Linked DNA regions of Cricetulus griseus. The protein of the gene in region 1 interacts with the protein of each later gene in a pairwise test. Links are inferred from orthologs where the notes say so. Each region holds a gene or a part of one and is shown in the gene's direction. Other genes may lie near its edges.

The links. The genes of interacting proteins can lie anywhere in the genome.
Region 2: the proteins of Prmt1 (region 1) and Speg interact in binary tests that used the Homo sapiens proteins (3 or more experiments, as listed by UniProt). The two-hybrid records come from large-scale screens. The link is inferred for Cricetulus griseus from reciprocal best matches to the Homo sapiens genes PRMT1 and SPEG.

What each region holds. Positions count from the first base shown.
Region 1 is NC_048599.1:153,870,634-153,874,377, reverse strand, and holds the start of Prmt1 (protein arginine N-methyltransferase 1), read left to right. Parts: upstream 1-1,140; 5' UTR 1,141-1,211; coding exon 1,212-1,247; intron 1,248-3,475; coding exon 3,476-3,529; intron 3,530-3,734; exon of another isoform or gene 3,735-3,744. UniProt on the Homo sapiens protein: Arginine methyltransferase that methylates (mono and asymmetric dimethylation) the guanidino nitrogens of arginyl residues present in proteins such as ESR1, histone H2, H3 and H4, FMR1, ILF3, HNRNPA1, HNRNPD, NFATC2IP, SUPT5H, TAF15, EWS, HABP4, SERBP1, RBM15, FOXO1, CHTOP, MAP3K5/ASK1, MICU1 and NPRL2.
Region 2 is NC_048595.1:428,521,032-428,524,775, forward strand, and holds the start of Speg (striated muscle preferentially expressed protein kinase), read left to right. Parts: upstream 1-1,157; coding exon 1,158-1,551; intron 1,552-3,744.

The sequences.
Region 1 (3,744 bases):
ACAAAAAGAAAAATCATACTGGCTGGAAGAAGTTTACACAAGCCTTAAATCCCAGCACTTTGGAGACAAAGGCAGGCTGTACCATGAGACTCTGCCTCACACCAGATACCTTACGTGTGCAGCAGATGGTGCAGTGCTTGCCGCTCAAGACTTGACACACGCACGCACACGCACACTAAACAGTGTTAGGAGTCGGAAGGAAGAAGGTCATCTGAGCACGAGGAGGCCTGGAGTGGAGAGGCACATTTGGGAACTTAAAGGACCCTGTGCTTGGGCCGAGTACTGGTGGGACAAAAGGTAAGAGGCAGGGGCACAAACCCAGCAATTGGCATCCATCTTCAGGCCAGGAGTAACTTTCTGCAGATCCAGGGAAACTTCCTGGAGGAGATGGAGTCCAAATTGCCGCGTGGGAGTTGGCCAAACAAAGGGAGATGGGTGTTTCATGCAAAGGACTAGGAGGCCACAGGTCTTCAGAACTCGGCACAGTCCAGTACAAGGTTATGGCTCATCGCACTGACATTCACTACGACTCCTGACAAGTTTCAGGACCCCTGATGAGAACGCCTCCACATCTACTCACAGCGACTCGGCATTTTCCCCTAGCTCGCCCACGCGCCCCAGTTCCGGAGAAGCCACCGAACGTTGATGACTGATGTTCCTGGGAGCCAATCGCTTCCGCCCAAAGCCCCGCCTACCTCCTTGTGGGCCAATGGTCCCTGTCGTTCTTGGCCAGTCTCTCGAAGGGACTGGAACAAGAGCCCTGCAACGTCACGTTTTGCTCAGCTAATTGCGGCGACGGAGAGGCGGGCCATCTTAATGATCCACAGCAGAGTCTCTCGACATCCGCTTAGCGCGGAGCCCGCCGGGAAGCTTCAAGGCGGAGCTGGCCGGAAGGAGGCGGGAAGACCTGGTGGGATATCCTCCAATCATCACATGCGCTGCCTAAGATAGACAGACAGTTGTTCCCTTCCTAGCCGACAGGAGGGGGTGGTCCTTTGAACGCTAGGAGGGGAGGGCGCCCGAATTTTGATAGACGTGCTCAGCGCCCAATTGCAGTGCGAGGCGGTTAGATTGACGGCTGCGCCAGCCATTGGAAACTTATGGCGGGGTCTCGGGGGCCGGGCGGTGGACCCTCTGGTAAAAGGCGGTCCCCGGCCGGGGGGAGAGAGAAGAAAGGGGGGGGTCTCGGAGGCCGGAGGACTCGGGTGAAGATGGCGGCAGCCGAGGCCGCGAACTGCATCATGGAGGTGAGTAGCTGGGCTCTTTAGGCCAGTGGGTAGGGGGAGGACGACGGGTTACCCACGGCCTGAACTGTGGAGACGGGGCCTTGGGTGTGCTGGGCCTCGCGGAGGTCCGCATCGGGGGATGTGTTCAATCGTGACCGGGGCGACCCCAGCTTATGGGACTCTCGGACCCCGCAGTCGAGTCGAGGGCCGTCGCACGTGGTCGCGGGCCGGGGGCGCGTCCAGCCGGGCCGCACGTGGTCGCGCAGCGTAGCGTGGGGAGGGGGGTGTGCCACTCGAGGGGCCCCGCGGGTTCCACGTGCGGGACAAAGGCCCCGCCCCCGGCCCGGTGACCTGGGCTGCACTCCGGGGGTCCTGGGGGGTGCCACCTGCGTCCTGCTGTCCGCTGGGTGGTGGACATCCGTGCACCCTCGTGGGGCCTGACCTCACTTTCCTCCACTCTGAGTTACCCCTGTGCGGTTGGGGGGGGATGGGCAGAGCCCTGTGACCTCTCTGTTAGAGGATGGTGGGGCATCTCCACCGAGGAGATCCGGATCCGGCGCCGGGCACCCCCTCGTGGTCATTATGGGCTTGTGAAAGGGGCTCTTTTTCATGGGGCGTGGCCCAAAGCCCACCCCCTCATGGAAGCGCCCTCGGGTGGATGGTCAGAGGTCGGTCTTGGGGCTGGATGGCTATGTAGGCACGCAGACCAAGGGGCCTTGACCCCCACCCGACCCCTTTTTTAGGATTCTCACCTTTGCCTAATTTCCCCCCCAAAACAGAATCAAATTCTAGCACCTGGCTTATTTGCTTACAGTTGAGTGTTTCCACCCCTGAGCTGTATTCCTCAGTCCACTTTTTACTAACTTTGATGCAAAGTGGGTCTGGCCTTGAACTCACCCTGTAGCCCAGGCTGGCCTTGAACTTGCCATCTTTGCTTAAGCCTTCCGGGTAGCTCTCGTGAAAGACTTCACTACTAGGCCTGTAAATCAGATCCTCTCCTAGTCTCAGGTTTCAAACCCTCTTCAGGAAGCCGTGTGGTGGTGCATGCCTTTAATCCCAGGACTCGGGAGGCAGAGACAGGCGGATCTTTGTGTGTTCAAGGCCCATTAGAACAAGTTCCAGGACAGGCTTCAAAGCTACACAGAGAAACCCTGTCTCAAAAAAAAAAAAAAAAAAAAAAGCCAGAAACAGAACAAACCCTCTTCAGTCAGTTGTTAACCTGCTGGTATCTGTACTACTGAAAAAGAGAGGCCCACATGGGAACTCCCCCCACTGGCTACCCGACCCCTGAGGTGGTAGATCGTGGCCTCTCTGGCCTTAGATAGCAGTCATCTATCTAATGGGATAATGATGGGATATAATCTGGTGGTACCCATACCTCTTCAAGTTCTCTGGAGAGGAAGGTCAGTTGCTGGGACACCTGCCATGGGGATCAGTTCGCCTACAGTGTCACTGAAGTGACCCTGGGCCTGGCACTTGTGGACAAAGGAAAAAGAGGGCAGTTTTCAGTGTGGGGACCAAGGTGGGGTGTGAAAGGGGGGGCTTTCGTAAGCTCACACGTGGCGGTGGGGCTCAGGCGGATTTTGGCAGAAATATTTATCGTAACAGCTTGCCCCAGCTTTCCAAGGCATATTTTGTACTCCTGGGGGGCAGCCCTCTTCCGGGGGCAGGTAAAACAAAGAGCCTTGCTCTGTGTGTTCCTTGCCCGGGTGGAGCTGGGGTGGTGTACTCACTGTGGTGTGGGGGTATGCCACATTTCTCTATTGGAATGATCTTTGGCCAGGAGACAGGATTGTGATGGGGCAGACAGGTGCCCAGCACCCATTACCTGTCAGCCCCCTCCGGTTTATTCATGGCACTTCAGCCTGGTGTGTCTGTCAGGAAATGTCACCTAATCTAGGGGGGATTAGGTAGTGAAGGGGAGCAACAGCTGAAAGTGCCCATGTGCCTTGGCAGGTATTGGGCCCTCTGGCCTAGATAGGGTAGGTATGTGTGGCCAGTTATCTGACCAGAGAGGGACAACATGGGGCGGGCCACCATCTCTTCAGCCAACAGCTGGGACAGGAGACCCCACCTTCCTTTCCCTCCCCACTTGTATCCCTTCCTTACACAACTGCAGCCACACTGCTTGCTCCTGCTTACACCACTCCCATGCCCAGGAAAAGCCAACCTGCAAAACACTCACTGCCCCAAAGGCCTTCCCCAGCCACCCCAGTAGCTAACCCTTTTTCCCTGTTACTCTCTCCTAGAATTTTGTAGCCACCTTGGCTAATGGGATGAGCCTCCAGCCGCCTCTTGAAGAAGTAAATATCCTTTTGTGAGACCCCCCCAGCCCACTTGCATATAAGCATACTTTGATATGCACCTGGCTCCTCAGGAGGTCTATTCATCCTCTTGCTTCAAACCAGTTTCCCCTGCTGTGGCCCCTAAACACATAGGACAGACCCCTTCCTGGCCCAAGCTGGCTCCCCCAGAACCATGGCTGCTTCCTTAACTCCATCTCCAGCCCTCCTCCTCT
Region 2 (3,744 bases), on another chromosome or scaffold:
AGCTTCTGCACTATTGAGCAAGAGGTCTGTGTAGGTCTCAGGCTAGACTCACTAACTGCTGACCCTTGACCTCTGACCTCCATGTGGGAAGCCTCTCTACCTTGACAGTTTCCCTGCCCTTCCCTGGTGACCTGCCCTTCAGAGTGGGCACAGCTGAGAAAACTGAGCACCTGGAAAGGTAGTGAGGGACAGCAACCTGTGTCTAGTGGCCTGGGCACCTGTCTCTACTCGTGTGTGTGTGTGTGTGTGTGTGTGTGTGTGTGTGTGTGTGTGTGTAAAACCTCCACAACTATGGACAAAAGCTTGCAATCAGTCATAGTGCTTCCTGCCTTCGGAATGGAGCCCCACATTTCAAGCCCTCCAAACCCCTCTTTCACCATATTCTCCTCGTGGTGTCCTTCTGTCTCCATTGCCCTGGCTGCTTTTGCTGCTGGTTACATTCCTAGCCAACTACAGGTAAGGGCAGATTGCTAGAGGATTGGCGGTGACCTGGCCGGTGAAGGTGGGGTGTTGGCAGTAGTGAGTGCAGGACCAGCTAGGAGCCAAAACTCCACCAGAACTCCAGGGTGTGGGTCTTGTTGCTTACCAGCTGTAATGGAGATGCTGGGAGAGCCTTTTTTTGGTCCCTCTGCTCACCTCCGCTGGGGCCTGTTTCTCCATGCACCTCTCAGACATCTCCTCTGGACCTTTCTTCTTCCTCTCCTGCAGCCTAGTGAGGCTGGGGAGCTGGGCTGAAGAAAGGAAGTGGGCCTGAGCCCAGGGGTAACTCGACTCCCCAGCTACCGCTGCCTGGGGGCGGGGGTGAGGGGGACAGACATACCGTGGGGGGAGGAGATTCTTTTAGGCCAGCTCTGGCGATGGGGGCACTGGGAGAGAGAGAAGGAGCCACATGGAGTCCAAGTCCCCTCCTCTGCTACCCCCTCCCTTCACTGCTCATTCGCAACCCGAGCTGGGGGGCCTAAAAATAGTCCCCGAGGCGCAACCGCGGGCGGCCCTGGTGACCTTCTGGGTAGCACAGGCTGCAGGCGGGCGGGCAGCAGGAAGGCCGACCGCCGGCCCCATAGGACCCATCTCTTAAGGCACCATACCCCCCGGGGCGTCCCCCTGGCCACCCAGTTCTAGCGTCCCCTGCCCGTCTAGTCCAGCTCACAGAGGCCATGCAGAAGGGCCGGGGCACGCGAGGCGAGGACGCCGGCACGAGGGCACCTCCCAGCCCCGGGGTGCCCCCGAAGAGAGCCAAGGTGGGGGCCGGCAGAGGGGTCCTCCCCACCGGGGCAGGGGCCGGGGCGCCGGTCTTCCTGCGGCCCCTGAAGAACGCGGCGGTGTGTGCGGGCAGTGATGTGCGGCTGCGGGTGGTAGTGAGTGGGACACCTCAGCCTAGCCTCAGCTGGTTCCGGGATGGGCAGCTCCTGCCCACACCGGCCCCAGAGCCCAGCTGCCTGTGGCTGCGGAGCTGCGGGGCACAGGACGCCGGCGTGTACAGCTGCAGCGCCCAGAATGAGCGTGGCCAGGCCTCCTGCGAGGCTGTGCTCACTGTGCTGGAGGTCAGAGGTAATGCAGAGGTGGGGCCTGCCTGGCAGGGCTGGGGGCACAGGGGTAGAGACAGCGGCCCAGGCCATGCAATGCAGGTTGCAGTCCCTCACCACCTTCCCAGGTGTCCAGTTTTCTCAGCTGTGCCCAATGAAGGGCAGGTCAACAGGGAAAGGCAGGGAAAGTATGTCAAGGTAGAGAGGATTCCCACATGGAGGTCAGAGGTCAAGGGTCAGCAGCTAATGGGCCTAGCCTGAGACCCACACAGACCTCTTGGATGATAGTATGAAAGCTCTTCTAACCTAGTAGAGAGAAACCTCCTGTGGGAGAATTGCCCTCTTCTGCTCCAATGACAGACTTGAGACCTGGTGACCAGCCCCTCACAGATGTGTGTGTGTGTGTGCTTCTGAAGGGGCCATGGGAGGAGGATGGCCAGACCTTCTCTATTGAAGATCAACTCTGGGACAAGGATGGTGTGGTCAGGATCAGGCAAGGTGGAAGGGGTCAGATGTGTATGAATAGGGTCCAGCGCCTCAGCAGATGGAACTGAGGCTAGACATGAGAAGTGGCTGCTTGGGAATCCGTGTGCATTGCATGTCTGCCTGTGATGTGTGTGTCTCAGGCATTTGTGAGTTGTGGGAGGCTCCGGACTCTGGGGTGTTAATACAAATATGCAGAATGAGGGTAGACGGAGATGGTATTGAAAGCCTGTGGAACATATAACTACTAAGGTTCCCAGGTGAGTGTCCAGGTGACATGCTTTGGACCGATGTCCTTGCTATTGTGAGGGCAGAGTTCTAGGATGAGGTACTGAGGCCTGGAGAGGAGAGGAGCAGAAGCCTCACTCAGTCCTGTAGTATGGTCCTGTTGTAGCTGGTGGGGGGTGTCAGGCCAGGTTGATAGTCCTTGGGTCAATTTGGGGGTTTCAGTTTCTGAGCCAAACAGTTCTCTAAACCAAAGACAGTCTTGGACCTACAAAGCTTTGAAAAATGGAATTCTGAGGAGTAGGTTTCATTTGGTAGAGATGCAAAGGGCTGGGGGCAGAGGGCAAGTGTCACTGCTTTGGTCATTTGCTGAGAGACATCTCATTCCACTCGATGGTAGAGGACCTTCTCTATTGAAGATCAACACTGGGACAAGGATGGTGTGGTCAGGATCAGGTCTTTGGGACCTGGAGAGGAAGTCCAGAGAGGAAAGACCCCAGCAGGTGGAGGGGAAAGAAGGCTGGAATCCAAAGTACAGTCAGGTGTTGGAAGAGTCTCTCTCTCTCTCTCTCTCTCTCTCTCTCTCTCTCTCTCTCTCTCCCCCCCTCTCTCTCTCTCTCTCTCTGTGTGTGTGTGTGTGTGTGTGTCCTCTCTCCCTAGCTTCACACTGCCCATTTCCTAGAGTCTTCTTGTGGTCACAGTGGCCAGACCTGGCCTACAGAAGGCCAAGGGTGGCTTCCAATTGGCCTACAAGCTGCCAGTATAGACTTCCTTAACCTGGGTCTAGGGGCTGGAGCATGCTCTGGAAGAATTCTGAGCTGAAGGAGTAGATTCTTGCAGTTTTTATTTACCTATAGTCGGGAGTAAAAGAAGCTGAAAACGGACTGTAACTCAAAGATTAAGGTAGATAAATTAATAAGAATGCACCTGGGAGGAGAGAGAGAGATGAGATCAGGAAAAGGGAAGGCAGAGGAAGAGAGTGGTGGTCATAATGCTTGTTAGATGTTGGACAGGTCCACAGAGAACTGATGCTCCGAATGCTTCCTTGGACAGGTAAGAACAGTGTGGGCAAGAGAGGAAGGAGGTCTACACGGCGTAAGGGCTGGTTATGATGTACCAGGACTGCAATCCTGTTCCATCCTGGTGATCTTGGGGGCCTTTCTACTACTCAAGACATTCTGTGGGAGGGAAAGAGAGAGAAAGAGAGATTGTTCAGTGTCTTAGAATTCGCTACTAATCAGTTGGCCTGGCTTGTCACCTGTGAAGACAGGTTACCTCTAACCCGCAGCAGGGCTGTTTCCTTGCTGCTTTTGAATCAGGGTGGTATACTGGGCAGAGATAAGCCTGGACTGGACATACCTAGACATAGGGGTACAGTCTCCTGGCTGTCTTGGTGAACAGTGGGGACTGGAGTGAAGAAAGGCCTTGAGAGCTGCGGACCTGGGTTTAAGGCCTCCGACATTCACATTAGATGGGAGGAAGGGACTGAGCGGAAGCATGTCACCTTTGA